Saccharomyces cerevisiae S288C: one gene and its partners. Changing the gene in region 3 together with the main gene of any one other region gives a genetic interaction. Each region holds a gene or a part of one and is shown on either strand. Other genes may lie near its edges.

Region 1 (4,788 bases), on a different chromosome or scaffold from region 3:
TGTCACTTTGAGAGAAAGAGATTCCACCAAGCAAGTTAGAGGTTCCGTCGAAAATGTCATCAAGGCTATCCGCGATATCACTTACAATGGTGCTTCTTGGGAAGAAGGTACCAAGGATTTGACTCCTTTTATTGCCCAAGCTGAAGCTGAAGCTGAAACTGACTAAATAAATGACTTAATTTTAACTATATATCGCCAAACATGTAAATTAAAAAAAGAAGCGAGAAGTATATACATGTGTGTATGAATAAATAATTCGTTTACTATTGATACGTATTGCAAGATATGATTATGTACTGTCCACTAATACGATTATTTTGGAAGTTTATAAAAGAAGTGCGGAAATCACATCTGCTGTTTATTTAGCCATTCCTCACACTAATAGTTAAAGTACTTTCATAGCAGCTCTGCGCATGGTCGGACATGCGAAAAATTCTGATATCAAGAAAAAGCGAAATATTTCCGGCCTTGTAGGGGCCAAAACATTAACGTATATCAAGATTTCCTGTGGTAGCAACATTATAAGAAAAAAAGGTAGCCTTCATTGAAACATTCTCTCTATCAGCTTACCAAGTTAAACTCCGTATTCCACAAGCAAGTGCCAAAATGTCTTCTTCCCAGGTCGTCAGGGATTCTGCCAAAAAATTAGTTAATTTACTGGAAAAATATCCAAAGGATCGTATACACCACTTGGTCTCATTCAGGGATGTACAAATAGCAAGATTTAGACGTGTAGCGGGTCTGCCAAATGTAGATGACAAAGGAAAATCTATAAAAGAGAAAAAACCCTCATTAGATGAAATAAAAAGTATAATTAACAGAACTTCCGGTCCATTAGGACTGAATAAGGAGATGTTAACCAAAATTCAAAATAAAATGGTAGATGAGAAATTCACGGAAGAAAGCATCAACGAGCAAATTCGTGCCTTGAGCACTATAATGAATAATAAATTCAGAAACTATTACGATATTGGCGATAAGCTCTATAAACCTGCAGGAAATCCCCAATATTATCAACGGTTAATAAATGCCGTTGACGGTAAGAAAAAGGAAAGCTTATTTACTGCAATGAGAACTGTATTATTTGGTAAATAAAGAGCACATTATTTTCTAAGCTTGTAAATACATATTTATTCATAATGGAGAACGTTATTCAAATTTATCTGTGAATTTCTTTACTCGAGGTATACTTCCGCAAAGGAAATTCTACTTAGCAAATCCTATGGTAACGTCATTGTTTTGTAGCTTGTAAGTGGAGCCTAACTGATTCTTGATTTTCGTAGCATCAGCAACGGTCTCGTATTCCACGAAAGCTAGGTTACGAACGCTAACTAATCTGATTTCAACTAAAGCCTCATTGCCAAGTATTTGCGACAATAATTGCTCGGTAGTGCCGCTTGGCAAATTTTGTATAAGAAGGACTTTGTTCGGTGGATTTTCCATTGTATTGGACACTTTAGCCCGCTTAAGAGGTTTCTGCGATTGTTTTAGATTTTCTTGCTGAGACTTCATGTTTTCCAATCTACGGGTTTCAAATTCTTTTACAATCCTATCAATCTCAGCCTCCTCTACCTTTCTTGATCTCAGCTTATGCTTCAGGCGTCTTATTTGCCTTTTAAGCCTGAACTTTTTGGCGCATATATCATCACTACGTAACTTGCGTTTAAGTTTCCTTGCTTTAAGCACCTTCTTTATATCAAGGTTGTACGTTTCGTCATTACCTTTTTTTTTTTGCATTTCTATTGAAAGACCCAATAACGAATTTGTTCGAGCCTTTCCCATTCTCACTTTACGACCTTGAACTTTTAATGCTGTTGTCGTGTATTTTTCTAGAAACCGGTCTGCTTCTTCTTGAGTGACAAACGTTAAAAATGCTTGGTTAGTCATCTTTGATGATCTTGAAATAGAAACTTCAAGAAGGCCCATTTGATCATCTAGTAACATCAGCGGTTGTGATGATATTTGTAATTTATTGTGGGGAAGGGGTAGCGACGGATTAATGGCATACTTGTTGTTGGGATTAATGTGTTTCAGAAGTAATCTGGTATAATTTTCTTTATTTGCTGGCCTACTGGGTAAATTTTGAAAGTACAGTCTGTTTTTATTGGTCATAGAGTATAGAATAATGAAAACGTTAGTAGAAAGAAGATTTAAGGAAACGTAAATTACAAGGTATATACATACGCTGACATGGTTTCTTTAGGTTTGATGAGGCCGTCTTTTGTTGATAGCAGCTTTTTCCATTTTTTTTTTTTTTGTTTCGAGTAACGTATGGTTTAGTATCTGTCTTCTCCTTCTCTTACAAAAAAACCCTTTGTAAAATAGTGCCGAGTTGGAGGACATCAATCTGATGGGCAAGAAAACACCAACCCCCCCTATATGAAAAGAAAATGATAAGCAGATAGATAAAAATACTTAATTAACTAATACATAAAAATAAGAGGTATATAAAAATATTATATGGAAGCAATAATTATTACTCTTATTTCTTAGCAGCCTTTTGAGCAGCCTTGGTAACCTTAGCGGCCTTTTCAGTCTTGTCAACAGACTTGATAACACCGACAGCGACAGTTTGTCTCATGTCTCTGACAGCGAATCTACCTAATGGTGGGTATTCACTGAAAGCTTCAACACACATTGGCTTAGATGGAACGAACTTGACCAAAGCAGCGTCACCGGACTTCAAGAACTTTGGATGGTCTTCCAACTTCTTACCAGATCTTCTGTCGTTCTTTTCCAACAATTCGTCGAATCTACAAGCAATGTGAGCAGTGTGACAATCCAAAACTGGAGAGTAACCAGCAGAGATTTGACCTGGATGGTTCAAAACAATGACGGTAGCGTTGAAAGAAGCGCAACCCTTTGGTGGATCGTTCTTAGCGTCACCACAGACGTTACCTCTTCTGATTTCCTTAACGGAAACGTTCTTGACGTTGAAACCAACGTTGTCACCTGGAACACCTTGTTCCAATTGTTCGTGATGCATTTCAACGGACTTGACTTCAGTGGTAACACCAGCTGGGGCGAAAGTAACAACCATACCTGGCTTGATGACACCGGTTTCAACTCTACCGACTGGCACAGTACCAATACCACCGATCTTGTAAACATCTTGCAATGGCAATCTCAATGGCTTGTCAGTTGGTCTAGATGGTTGTTCAATGGCGTCAATGGCTTCCAACAAAGTCTTACCCTTGACGACACCGGCCTTGGTTTCCTTTTCCCAACCCTTGTACCATGGAGCGTTGGTGGTAGCTTCAATCATGTTGTCACCGTTCCAACCAGAGATTGGGACGAATGGAACAGTCTTTGGGTTGTAACCAACCTTCTTGATAAAGTTGGAGGTTTCCTTGACAATTTCTTGGAATCTGGATTCGTCCCATTTGACGGAGTCCATCTTGTTGACAGCAACAATCAATTGTCTAACACCCAAGGTGAAAGCCAACAAAGCGTGTTCTCTGGTTTGACCATCCTTAGAGATACCGGCTTCGAATTCACCGACACCACCAGCAATAATCAAGATAGCACAGTCAGCTTGAGAAGTACCAGTAATCATGTTCTTGATGAAATCTCTGTGACCTGGAGCATCAATAACGGTAACTTGGTACTTTGGAGTTTCGAACTTCCACAAAGCAATATCGATAGTGATACCTCTTTCTCTTTCAGCCTTTAACTTGTCCAAAACCCAAGCGTACTTGAAAGAACCCTTACCTAATTCAGCGGCTTCCTTTTCGAACTTTTCGATGGTTCTCTTGTCAATACCACCACACTTGTAAATCAAATGACCGGTAGTGGTAGACTTACCAGAATCGACATGACCGATAACGACAACGTTAATGTGAGACTTCTCTTTACCCATGTTTAGTTAATTATAGTTCGTTGACCGTATATTCTAAAAACAAGTACTCCTTAAAAAAAAACCTTGAAGGGAATAAACAAGTAGAATAGATAGAGAGAAAAATAGAAAATGCAAGAGAATTTATATATTAGAAAGAGAGAAAGAAAAATGGAAAAAAAAAAATAGGAAAAGCCAGAAATAGCACTAGAAGGAGCGACACCAGAAAAGAAGGTGATGGAACCAATTTAGCTATATATAGTTAACTACCGGCTCGATCATCTCTGCCTCCAGCATAGTCGAAGAAGAATTTTTTTTTTCTTGAGGCTTCTGTCAGCAACTCGTATTTTTTCTTTCTTTTTTGGTGAGCCTAAAAAGTTCCCACGTTCTCTTGTACGACGCCGTCACAAACAACCTTATGGGTAATTTGTCGCGGTCTGGGTGTATAAATGTGTGGGTGCAACATGAATGTACGGAGGTAGTTTGCTGATTGGCGGTCTATAGATACCTTGGTTATGGCGCCCTCACAGCCGGCAGGGGAAGCGCCTACGCTTGACATCTACTATATGTAAGTATACGGCCCCATATATATATATATATATATACATTAAACATTATTGGTAAATACACCAGCAACCGCATGATTGATGTTATGGTGGAATATAGGTAGCTAAAAAAACTCTACATAACAAAGTAATTGTTTACATTGATCTTGACCTATCAAATTTCTTTCACATTTTGGGTTTATAGGTCAATATATTGATATATATGTGTAGCTATTTTCGCTTGCTTTCAAGTCACTTCTTAATGGTGGCTCGCTGTCTCTCCTTTGCTAGGGACAAAAATTCGCCTTTAATGGCACATATGCCATGCTTTGAACAGGGAACACGATATATAACGTCATTGCTCGGACATGTTTGGGTGGACCTTATTCTACATGTTTTACTTTTCTC
Region 2 (4,648 bases), on a different chromosome or scaffold from region 3:
CAGGTCATAACCAAGTCGTCGAAAAAGCTCCCGTAGCTTTGGATAACATTCTACGAAACCTTAAACTTGGTGAATTTATAACATATTTTGTCCTTAACAGAAAATCATTGCAAGTAAATGTACCTCACCACTTGCTGTTCACAAATCAAACGGATTACGGAGAGTTCGCTGTTGAAAAAGGGGAACATGATAATATAGCTGGCAAATTTGAGACCCTTTTGAAGAAAAAGGAAATTTTAATCAGAAAATTACTAAATATTGAACAGAAAAATGACCATATTCTAGAAAATTGCTGCAATTCGGATGCTGAAATGAAAAATATCGGAGAGCTAGTCTGCTCAATGATCACTCTGGTATCAGGCATATTAGATTCAATTACTAATATGAACGCAGAAAACTCTGTTGATTTGGATTCAAAGCCCCTTCCGAACGCCTATTTTGCTCAGGACAGTGAAGAAGAATTAATGTCGCCAACACAAAGTATTACGTCAAATCTTGCCAGTGAAGAAAATACACGTTGCACAACCAAAGACTTGATGGGAACTGTTTCTATTTTCATGCTGCCAATGGTGGAAGAATGCTATAATATCATTAGTTTGATAGGACCCATACCTACCACATTAATAAGTTTATACATCCGTAATGGAAATATGGCCAAGGGAATAAATGACAGAATTATGACGTTGTCAACTGCGCTGAACGAATTGGTGCAAATAACCGCACTATTTAATACCCTAGAACCTTTTAGGAAGAATGCACATGACCGTGCTAAGCGTTACTATGTAAGTGCTACAAGTAGTACCGGATGCTACGAATCGGTAATGAAGAGCATGTATTCCGGAAAATGTGCAGCTAGTAACGCCTCAAACGTTGCGCCATCGGAGGAAGAAAACAAAAAGATATTGAAAAAGTTTGCCGACATAGGTTGGAAATTGATGGATGATTCAGAATTGGGTTGTTGCTGTTGCTTCTTTAACTAATATTCATGATAACAAGGTGAAAAATAGCATCCTAATGAAGGATAGATAAGTAGATTTTTTCTTTTAAAAACTATAGTACAAGGACATGCAAAGTCATATATCTAAACTAATTTTGGTACACGACCAACAAAAAAGGGTAACAAAGTACACATATTCGCGTCAATAATATGAACAAGTTTGTTTATTTGCTTTTCAAATTTTTTTCTTTCTCCAGCAAACAAAAGTCTTAATGCATTAAATAAGAACCTTCGTTTTTTCTGCTTCTTGAATTACCGTCGATGCCATTCGATTCGAACTTGTAAGAAATTTTGATATTTAGATCTCTGTTATTCTTCTCGTTTGGAGAGCAAACCAATTCACCTTCAATGGTGTCACCAGTTTCAGCATCTAGATCATCAGGGAAATAAAATATTGTTTGCTTCCAGTGAGTGTATGGAGCATGAGGACCAGTGGAGAACTCAACAGGTCTCTTACCCTTTGGTGCAGGGAAAACAATGTCGAACCAGGTGACTATACCATTAATCATATCTTGTCTCTTGGCCGTCAATTTAAAGTTACTCTTAAACGCTAGATCTGATATTTTTACTGTATTTAAATCAAATTCGATCAATTTGTCTGAGGTGGTGTTGACATTGTTTCTTTCCACGGTGTCGACGATGGGCTCGTGTAAGACCAACGGAACAAATGGCGAATAATCAAACCCGTAAACGTCTTGCCAGTAGTTCAACTTCTCGTCTTTATACTGAGAGTCTTCCAAACCGGCCAAATGAATGGAGCACTTGTCGGGAAAGATCAGACCGCCTTCTACCAAATAGTGGTCTCTAGCGTAAAGAACGGTGTCCATCATGGACTCGTATAGTAGAAAGTAACCCATCCATTCAGAAATTATGATGTCAACTTTAGGAAAGGGTAAATGAACGTCCTCCAACTTGCCTCTTAGCAAGGTGATCTTGTCGCTGAATCCGTTCAACTCTACCAATTCCTTCGCCATCTCAATAATGCTTGACATATCAACACCGATAACATGCTTCGCACCGTGTTTAGCGGCAAACATGGATAAAATACCGGTACCGCAACCGACGTCTAAAACAATCTTGTCCTTAAAAAGATCCTTATTTTGGATAATTGCGTTTCTGTAAGATAAGGTACGAACAGTATCTTGAAGCATCTCTTCGTGAATACCATAGTGATCGTACGAATTGAAGTAGTGCTGTTCGCTTTCACTTAGCTTGGTTTTTTCTGTAGCAGAATCTTTCACGGCTGTCTTGCTCATTATTTTCTTTGGATGAATTTGTCGGTTCTAACTCTTTTTTGGAAACGGCAAGGTGAGCAGTAGGCAGCTCATCTCTTCAACTATTTTTATAACATATAATTTCCCTTTGTGAAAAAATTTTCCCGCCATTTCCAAATTTCGGAATTCCTTTTTCTTTTTTTTCATCTCGGTATATTCTGACATATTACCCTATAGGCGGTATAAAAAGATTCATTATACAGTATAAAATAGAAAATGAGAGAATTATATGGTGTTAAATAGATCCTACATTGAATTTTTCATTAACAGTCCCTCATGGGGCTAGTCTAACGACTTTCCATGGATCGTTTTCTGTTTTTCTTCTGTAAACGAATCTATCATGCAATCTCGAGGGTCTACCTTGCCAGAACTCAATTTCCAGTGGAACGATTCTCAAGCCACCCCAATAATCTGGACATGGGATGTCTTCAGCATCCTTGAAACGTTCGGTGTTTTTTTGGGTCAACTCGTCTAGTTCTTCTCTGTTCTTGATAACATCCGATTGGCGGGAAGCCCATGCACCGATCTTGGATCCACGAGGTCTCGTCTTAAAGTATCTTTCAGAAGTTTCTCTGTTAACATGCTCTGTGATACCTTCAACTCTCACCTGCCTTTGCAGATCCTTCCAAAAGAATACGATTGCCGCATTCGGGTTGGTAGCAATATCATGAGCCTTTCTAGAGGTTCCCCAGTTAGAATAAATAGTAAAACCTCTATGGTCGAGCTCCTTAAAAAGAAGAATCCTGGACGACACCCTCCCACTAGGTAGTTCCGCGGATGAAAAAGTAATTGCTTCTGGCAACGTTTCCCTTGGGTCTTCCTTGGCTTCGTTGAACCATTTGGTGAAAAGATCGATTGGGTCGTCAGTAAGTTGTTTTTCATTCAAAGTAAATTTATCATATTGATACGTCTCAGGAGCAAATATGATTGGCTTTTGGGTCTCCTCAGCTTGTTTAGTCATTTTCAGTGCAGATCCGTGAAGTGTACTACTGGTCTAGGTAGAGTATCTTTAAAATATCTAATCATGCAAATTAGTCATTTCTTCTTTCTTATAAGTTGCGGCCCCTTCTAGTATTTACAATTTACCCGGCGCTGGTTCTGGTGGCATCTATAAGAGCTCTATCTGGCTGCTAAGCAGACTTGCTGTTACTTGTATGTGCTGTTTATCAAGATTGGGGCATTACGCATGTGTATGTGTGAACTACAGTAGTGTTATGAAATACAGCCTGAAAGACGAAAACTTCACAACGGAACTTAAGCGGTTCAATAAACATCTATCTGCCAGCTTAGAGAGACTACCCGTGGTAGAGAAAGACACGGGCAGCCAAAAATACTGGGTGTTGTATATTTACTTGTGTTAGTTTATAAATAAATTTTATATCACTATATGTGTGGTGAAAAGGAAGAGCAATCCTGCTAAAGCTTTTATATCTAAACGCCAAAAAAATAAAAAAAAAAGGAAATGGGAGAAAAGTTTTCAGCGCGCGAACTCGCGAAAAAACTTCCTCTTTAGCAATGGTGACATATAGATCTCAAGGTTCTCAATTAAAAGACCTTCTTTGTAGCTTTTAGTGTGATTTTTCTGGTTTGAGAATAAAACTAGAGAGGAAGATAGGTACCCTATGAAAATGTCAATGGCTGTTGCGTTTGCTTAATCGTATTTTTTTTTTTTTCAGTCCGTGTTTTTTGTACATTCTACGTTTGAGTTTTCCATCATGCAGGCCTCAGAAATTTGGTAGGCACTCGATGGTGAAGAGATAGTGTCGGATTTCGGATTGATCTTTCAGTTGATAGCCTGCTGCTCTTTTCTTTTCCAAAGAATTTCGAGTATGCTGGTGTCAGTGTAGATGCTTGTGTGTGCGCAATTTGTGGTTTTTTATTGTGTTTCTACTTATAGATGGCTAAAATCTGAGTTTAGAAAATGCAAACCGTAAATTCTTAAACACTGCTATTGCATTTAGTTGCTAAAGCAGTGTTTTTGAACTTATTCCTGTTATTCCTTCTTCGTACCGATCCTCTTCTCGACCTAACCTTTTAATTACCATGGGAAGCCTACCATCACCACACCCACACACAAATGTTACAGCTAATTGTTTATTAGCAAAGTTTGCACGAGTTCGCTGTTTATTTTTTTCTCGTTTTCTTATACCTAGTATTTTTTCTGACACTGTTTAAGGTGACAGAAAAAAAGGAGTTTAAGTTAGATTTGCAAACAGACGGTGCTAAGCGCTGTCACTTTATGTCTATCTTATCGTTAACTCTGGAAAAAGAAAAAGGAAAAAGAACGTCAGGGAACATGAGTATATATAGAAATGGTTTATTCTAGTTTTTTCCGTTTTTTCAGTAGATTTTTGCCTTTAAAAGAATAAATCCCACT
Region 3 (4,050 bases):
TACACAATCTCAATATGGCAGTTCAAAGAAGTCAAAATCGGCGTCCGATGATGCAAAGCCCTGCTACAAATCCGCCCCAATATATGAAATAATCAATAAGGAAAAGGATGCGGGGGCACAATACAACAGGCCATTTTCGGATTTTGTAGAATCTAAATCAAGGAGGAAGCAAAATTCGGGCAGGAGGTCTAACCTGCCAAAGGAAACAGTGCAGATACTGAATACTTGGTTGCTGAACCACCTGAATAACCCCTACCCAACTCAACAAGAAAAGAGGGAGTTGTTAATCAAAACTGGGCTAACCAAGATTCAACTTTCTAATTGGTTCATAAATGTGAGAAGACGCAAAATATTTAGTGATTACTATACCCTGGTAAACTCAATTCCTAATGACAACGCGAATAATACCCCAGTGGAACGAGTTCAAAACGTCTCAGCATATCATAACACATTATCTGCCACAAATAATACTATGTACGATGCTACGTCAACCTGCTCCACGGATTATGAATTATCCAAGAGATTTGCTCATGCCCCCGTTACACGCCGTAAAAAACTAATTGATAGGCTGGAAGAATTGAAAAAGCTATCCAACCCTGATATGAATTGATCACTTATCAATGCATTACTTAAATATTCATATAATTATATCTATTACCATTTACATTTTATCGTTACTATATATAGTATTATCATGTCATTGAACGTGTTACGTCTATTATGTTACACTGATTTTTTTTTTTTTTTTTTACATAACAGCATCATGCAAGCCTTTAAAAATAATGTAGGTATGTATATATACAATAATATATATATATATATATATATCTGTGTGTAGAATCTTTCTCAGATATAAATTGATTGATTCTACTGAGGTACGTAGTTATCATCTTCTCTTTCTTCATCGAAACCTGGTCTGAAAGTACCCATTGCATCAGGAGGAGGGATATAATTATTCGTATTAGATTGTGAGCTACTGTTATCAAATCTGGAATGTGGTACGCCGACACGCTCTGCAAATGGAATGGCGAAGCCACCTCTGGATGCATCAAAATCGAACCTCAATTCATCGCTGACTTGACCACCGCTCTTACCACGACCAAACTGTCTTCCATCTTCAAAACCAGGATCTAGATCAATGGTAATTGTCTTTTCGTCTAACTTTGTATCGGACAAATATTTTAAGGCATTCAATGCTTCATCTGGACAACTATATATAATAAAACAGAAGCCACATGGCGTGAACTTAAAACGGTCCAAACCCATAATTATTCTTTTTATTGTGCCACATTTACTGAATAATTCGTAAATTTGTTCTTCTGATGTATAAAAGGAAAGATTTCCTACATAAATTGTGGATGACTTCATCGACTCACGCAGTTCTTGTAGCCCGTTAGGGTTTCTTCTAGCCTTGCGCAGCAGGTACCTTGATGGTGTATCTAGGCGTTTAGTTGAATGATCATATTTAACTTCGTCAAATTCTTCCAGGGACATCTTTCCCTTTATTTATTGGTATATTAATGGATGCAACTTTTATTCGATATTAGTCCTTTCGGGACTTTAAAAGCTGTCGAGACACTTTCTCCATATAAACTCATGTTCTATATTCATACATATAATATTTTTCTTGAAAAAAACACAAAAACTGTTAAAGCGGGTAATACTTTGATAAGCACTTATTAACGTTTATACCATACACTACTTCATACACCAATTACAAATCTATTAGTGGTATACTTTTACTGTAGACAATGTGGATTTTGATGTAATTGTTGGGATTCCATTGTGATTAAGGCTATAATATTAGGTATATAGATATACTAGAAGTTCTCCTCAAGGATTTAGGAATCCATGAAAGGGAATCTGCAATTCTACACAATTCTATAAATATTATTATCATCATTTTATATGTTAATATTCATTGATCCTATTACATTATCAATCCTTGCGTTTCAGCTTCCACTAATTTAGATGACTATTTCTCATCATTTGTGTCATCTTCTAACACCGTATATGATAATATACTAGTAACGTAAATACTAGTTAGTAGATGATAGTTGATTTTTATTCCAACATTTACTGGTACAATAGGTGTATGATATTTTCCCAAAGTTTAAATTTATATAATATAAGTGGCTTGTGCATTAATGCTCTTGAACGAAACTGGATAACGAAAACTGCAAATACTTGTAGTTTTAAACAGACACTTTCTGGGATAGGTCTATCAGCGAAGCTTGGGAATGTTTCGCCAAATTACCTGTATCCTTTCATGAGCGTGAGCAGGTTTAGGTCATGGTCACATCTTATTATATAAATTCTTTCAGAAGATTGTCAATTGTCCATCTATCGCCATAGATTATCTGAGAGCGAAGTTCCATTATGTCTACTAGTAGAAAATAATTTGAAGTTGAAATATAATAGCATTACAAAATTTTTTCTTTATATAGTCCGGTCTTGAAGAAGGATAACAATATTAAGTGTATGAAGACACAAGAACTTTTTCTTGGAAATTTGGATTTTTATGGGAGGAAACCTACAGCGGCAATGTATAATTATGATTAGTTCATCCTTTGCTGCCATCTGTTCGCAATTATTCATGCAATTGTATGATTATTGTCAGGCATTTCAACTTCCGGTAGATTCGTTTGTAATAATAGGTGAATTTTGTGTTGACATTATCAAACCGTTAAGATAGTGTTAGTTGCCAATTAGCATTTGCCTCGATAGAATGTGACGTTAGTTGTGGTACTAGGAATAAAAGTTGATGGCCAAACATTTTTCCTGCACATTTCCTTCAGCGTTTTCAGAAAAGAGAATTTGAGTAAAAATATTTTTGATGTTTAGGTTACCAATATCTCATTAATATAAATTTGAAAACAATGAATTTTGGGTTATACTTGGAGTGCATTTTATTGTGGTTAAAGGCTACAATATTAGCTAAACAGAATGTACAAGTAGTTTTCCTGGAGAATAAAAGAATTCTAAAAGAGAATCGATAATTCTATACAATAATATAGTTATCTCTTCTTTCGTTTATGTACTGTCGTTCTTGTTTTATTACGTTATTAATCCTTGCAGTGCACTTTTCATGATGACTGGTGACTGTTTCTCAATTTTTACATCATTTTTTTTTGAAAACATGATGATATACTAATAATTTGGATACTAGCAATAAATGCTTCTTGATCCTCTATTCCAACAAAAAAGTAACAAGAGCTTACTGATCTTCGGTTTTTATTTTACCTTATCCCAAATATCAAATTGAAATATACCGATTGTTTTAATCCGTTTTGTTGTATATTATCGTAATAATATGCAGATAATATACATATATACGTATTACGCCGATTAGGCTGACACTTTAACAAAATTTTCTGTCCAATTATTGTCCGATATAGTGTAACGGCTATCACATCACGCTTTCACCGTGGAGACCGGGGTTCGACTCCCCGTATCGGAGTTTTCTTTTTGCTTCCTTCCGCCCTTCCAAGTTGTTGCATAATCTTATCTGTCAAAATATGAACGCTTGAAAACTATAGATTATAATTATCATTTATTTAGCCATAATGGAGGGAAGAATAATATGATTGCATATCAAAGGTAAAAAAAGTCGAGTAAATGACTTATAAACGTAAAAAATATATTGATAAAAGACATAAACGAGGCCATGAAGGTGGGAAAAAAAAAAATAACTGCATAATAATGTTAACTAAATGAAAATAAAATGAAAAATAAAATGAAAAATAAAATGAAAAAAACAAATCATAGGACAAAAAGTTTCCAAATGAAGGATAAGAGGCCTAAAAACCAATGTGCTTTCCAGGCAAAACCAATCTTAGCAACAGCTACACTTTGGTTTTGTATAACTTCTTTTTATTTTTCAATGCACGCGGCTTTAACAGTTCAAAGCTACACATCATACCCGTTGTAACGCTCATTACTGCCCCCCAATTATGAAATTCTCCACAATAATTTGGTGCTGAAAAGATTGTGACAAACTTTTTCCTGGCAAAGAATTCATAACCATCTTCTACGACCATATGTCCCCTA

The links. Genes that interact genetically often act in the same process or in processes that back each other up.
Region 1: mutations in CBC2 (region 3) and MUD1 together harm fitness more than expected from each alone (negative genetic interaction), as found in Saccharomyces cerevisiae (4 studies listed by BioGRID, with this or other methods).
Region 2: mutations in CBC2 (region 3) and HMT1 together harm fitness more than expected from each alone (negative genetic interaction), as found in Saccharomyces cerevisiae (4 studies listed by BioGRID).

Annotation. Positions count from the first base shown.
Region 1 is NC_001134.8:476,742-481,529, reverse strand, and holds MUD1 (Mud1p), read right to left. Parts: upstream 2,193-4,788; coding exon 2,185-2,192; intron 2,096-2,184; coding exon 1,207-2,095; downstream 1-1,206. Other genes in the region: GRS1 (glycine--tRNA ligase), read left to right, coding at 1-166; CBP6 (Cbp6p), read left to right, coding at 607-1,095; TEF2 (translation elongation factor EF-1 alpha), read right to left, coding at 2,483-3,859. UniProt on the Saccharomyces cerevisiae protein: Involved in nuclear mRNA splicing. The principal role of the U1A is to help fold or maintain U1 RNA in an active configuration. It is the first snRNP to interact with pre-mRNA.
Region 2 is NC_001134.8:303,724-308,371, forward strand, and holds HMT1 (protein-arginine omega-N methyltransferase HMT1), read right to left. Parts: upstream 2,254-4,648; coding exon 1,207-2,253; downstream 1-1,206. Other genes in the region: EDS1 (Eds1p), read left to right, coding at 1-980; pyridoxamine-phosphate oxidase PDX3, read right to left, coding at 2,546-3,232. UniProt on the Saccharomyces cerevisiae protein: S-adenosyl-L-methionine-dependent protein-arginine N-methyltransferase that catalyzes both the mono- and asymmetric (type I) dimethylation of the guanidino nitrogens of arginine residues in a variety of RNA-binding proteins such as heterogeneous nuclear ribonucleoproteins (hnRNPs) and small nuclear ribonucleoproteins (snRNPs).
Region 3 is NC_001148.4:209,602-213,651, reverse strand, and holds CBC2 (nuclear cap-binding protein subunit CBC2), read right to left. Parts: upstream 1,495-4,050; coding exon 868-1,494; downstream 1-867. Other genes in the region: CUP9 (Cup9p), read left to right, coding at 1-610; PPQ1 (protein-serine/threonine phosphatase), read right to left, coding at 3,846-4,050.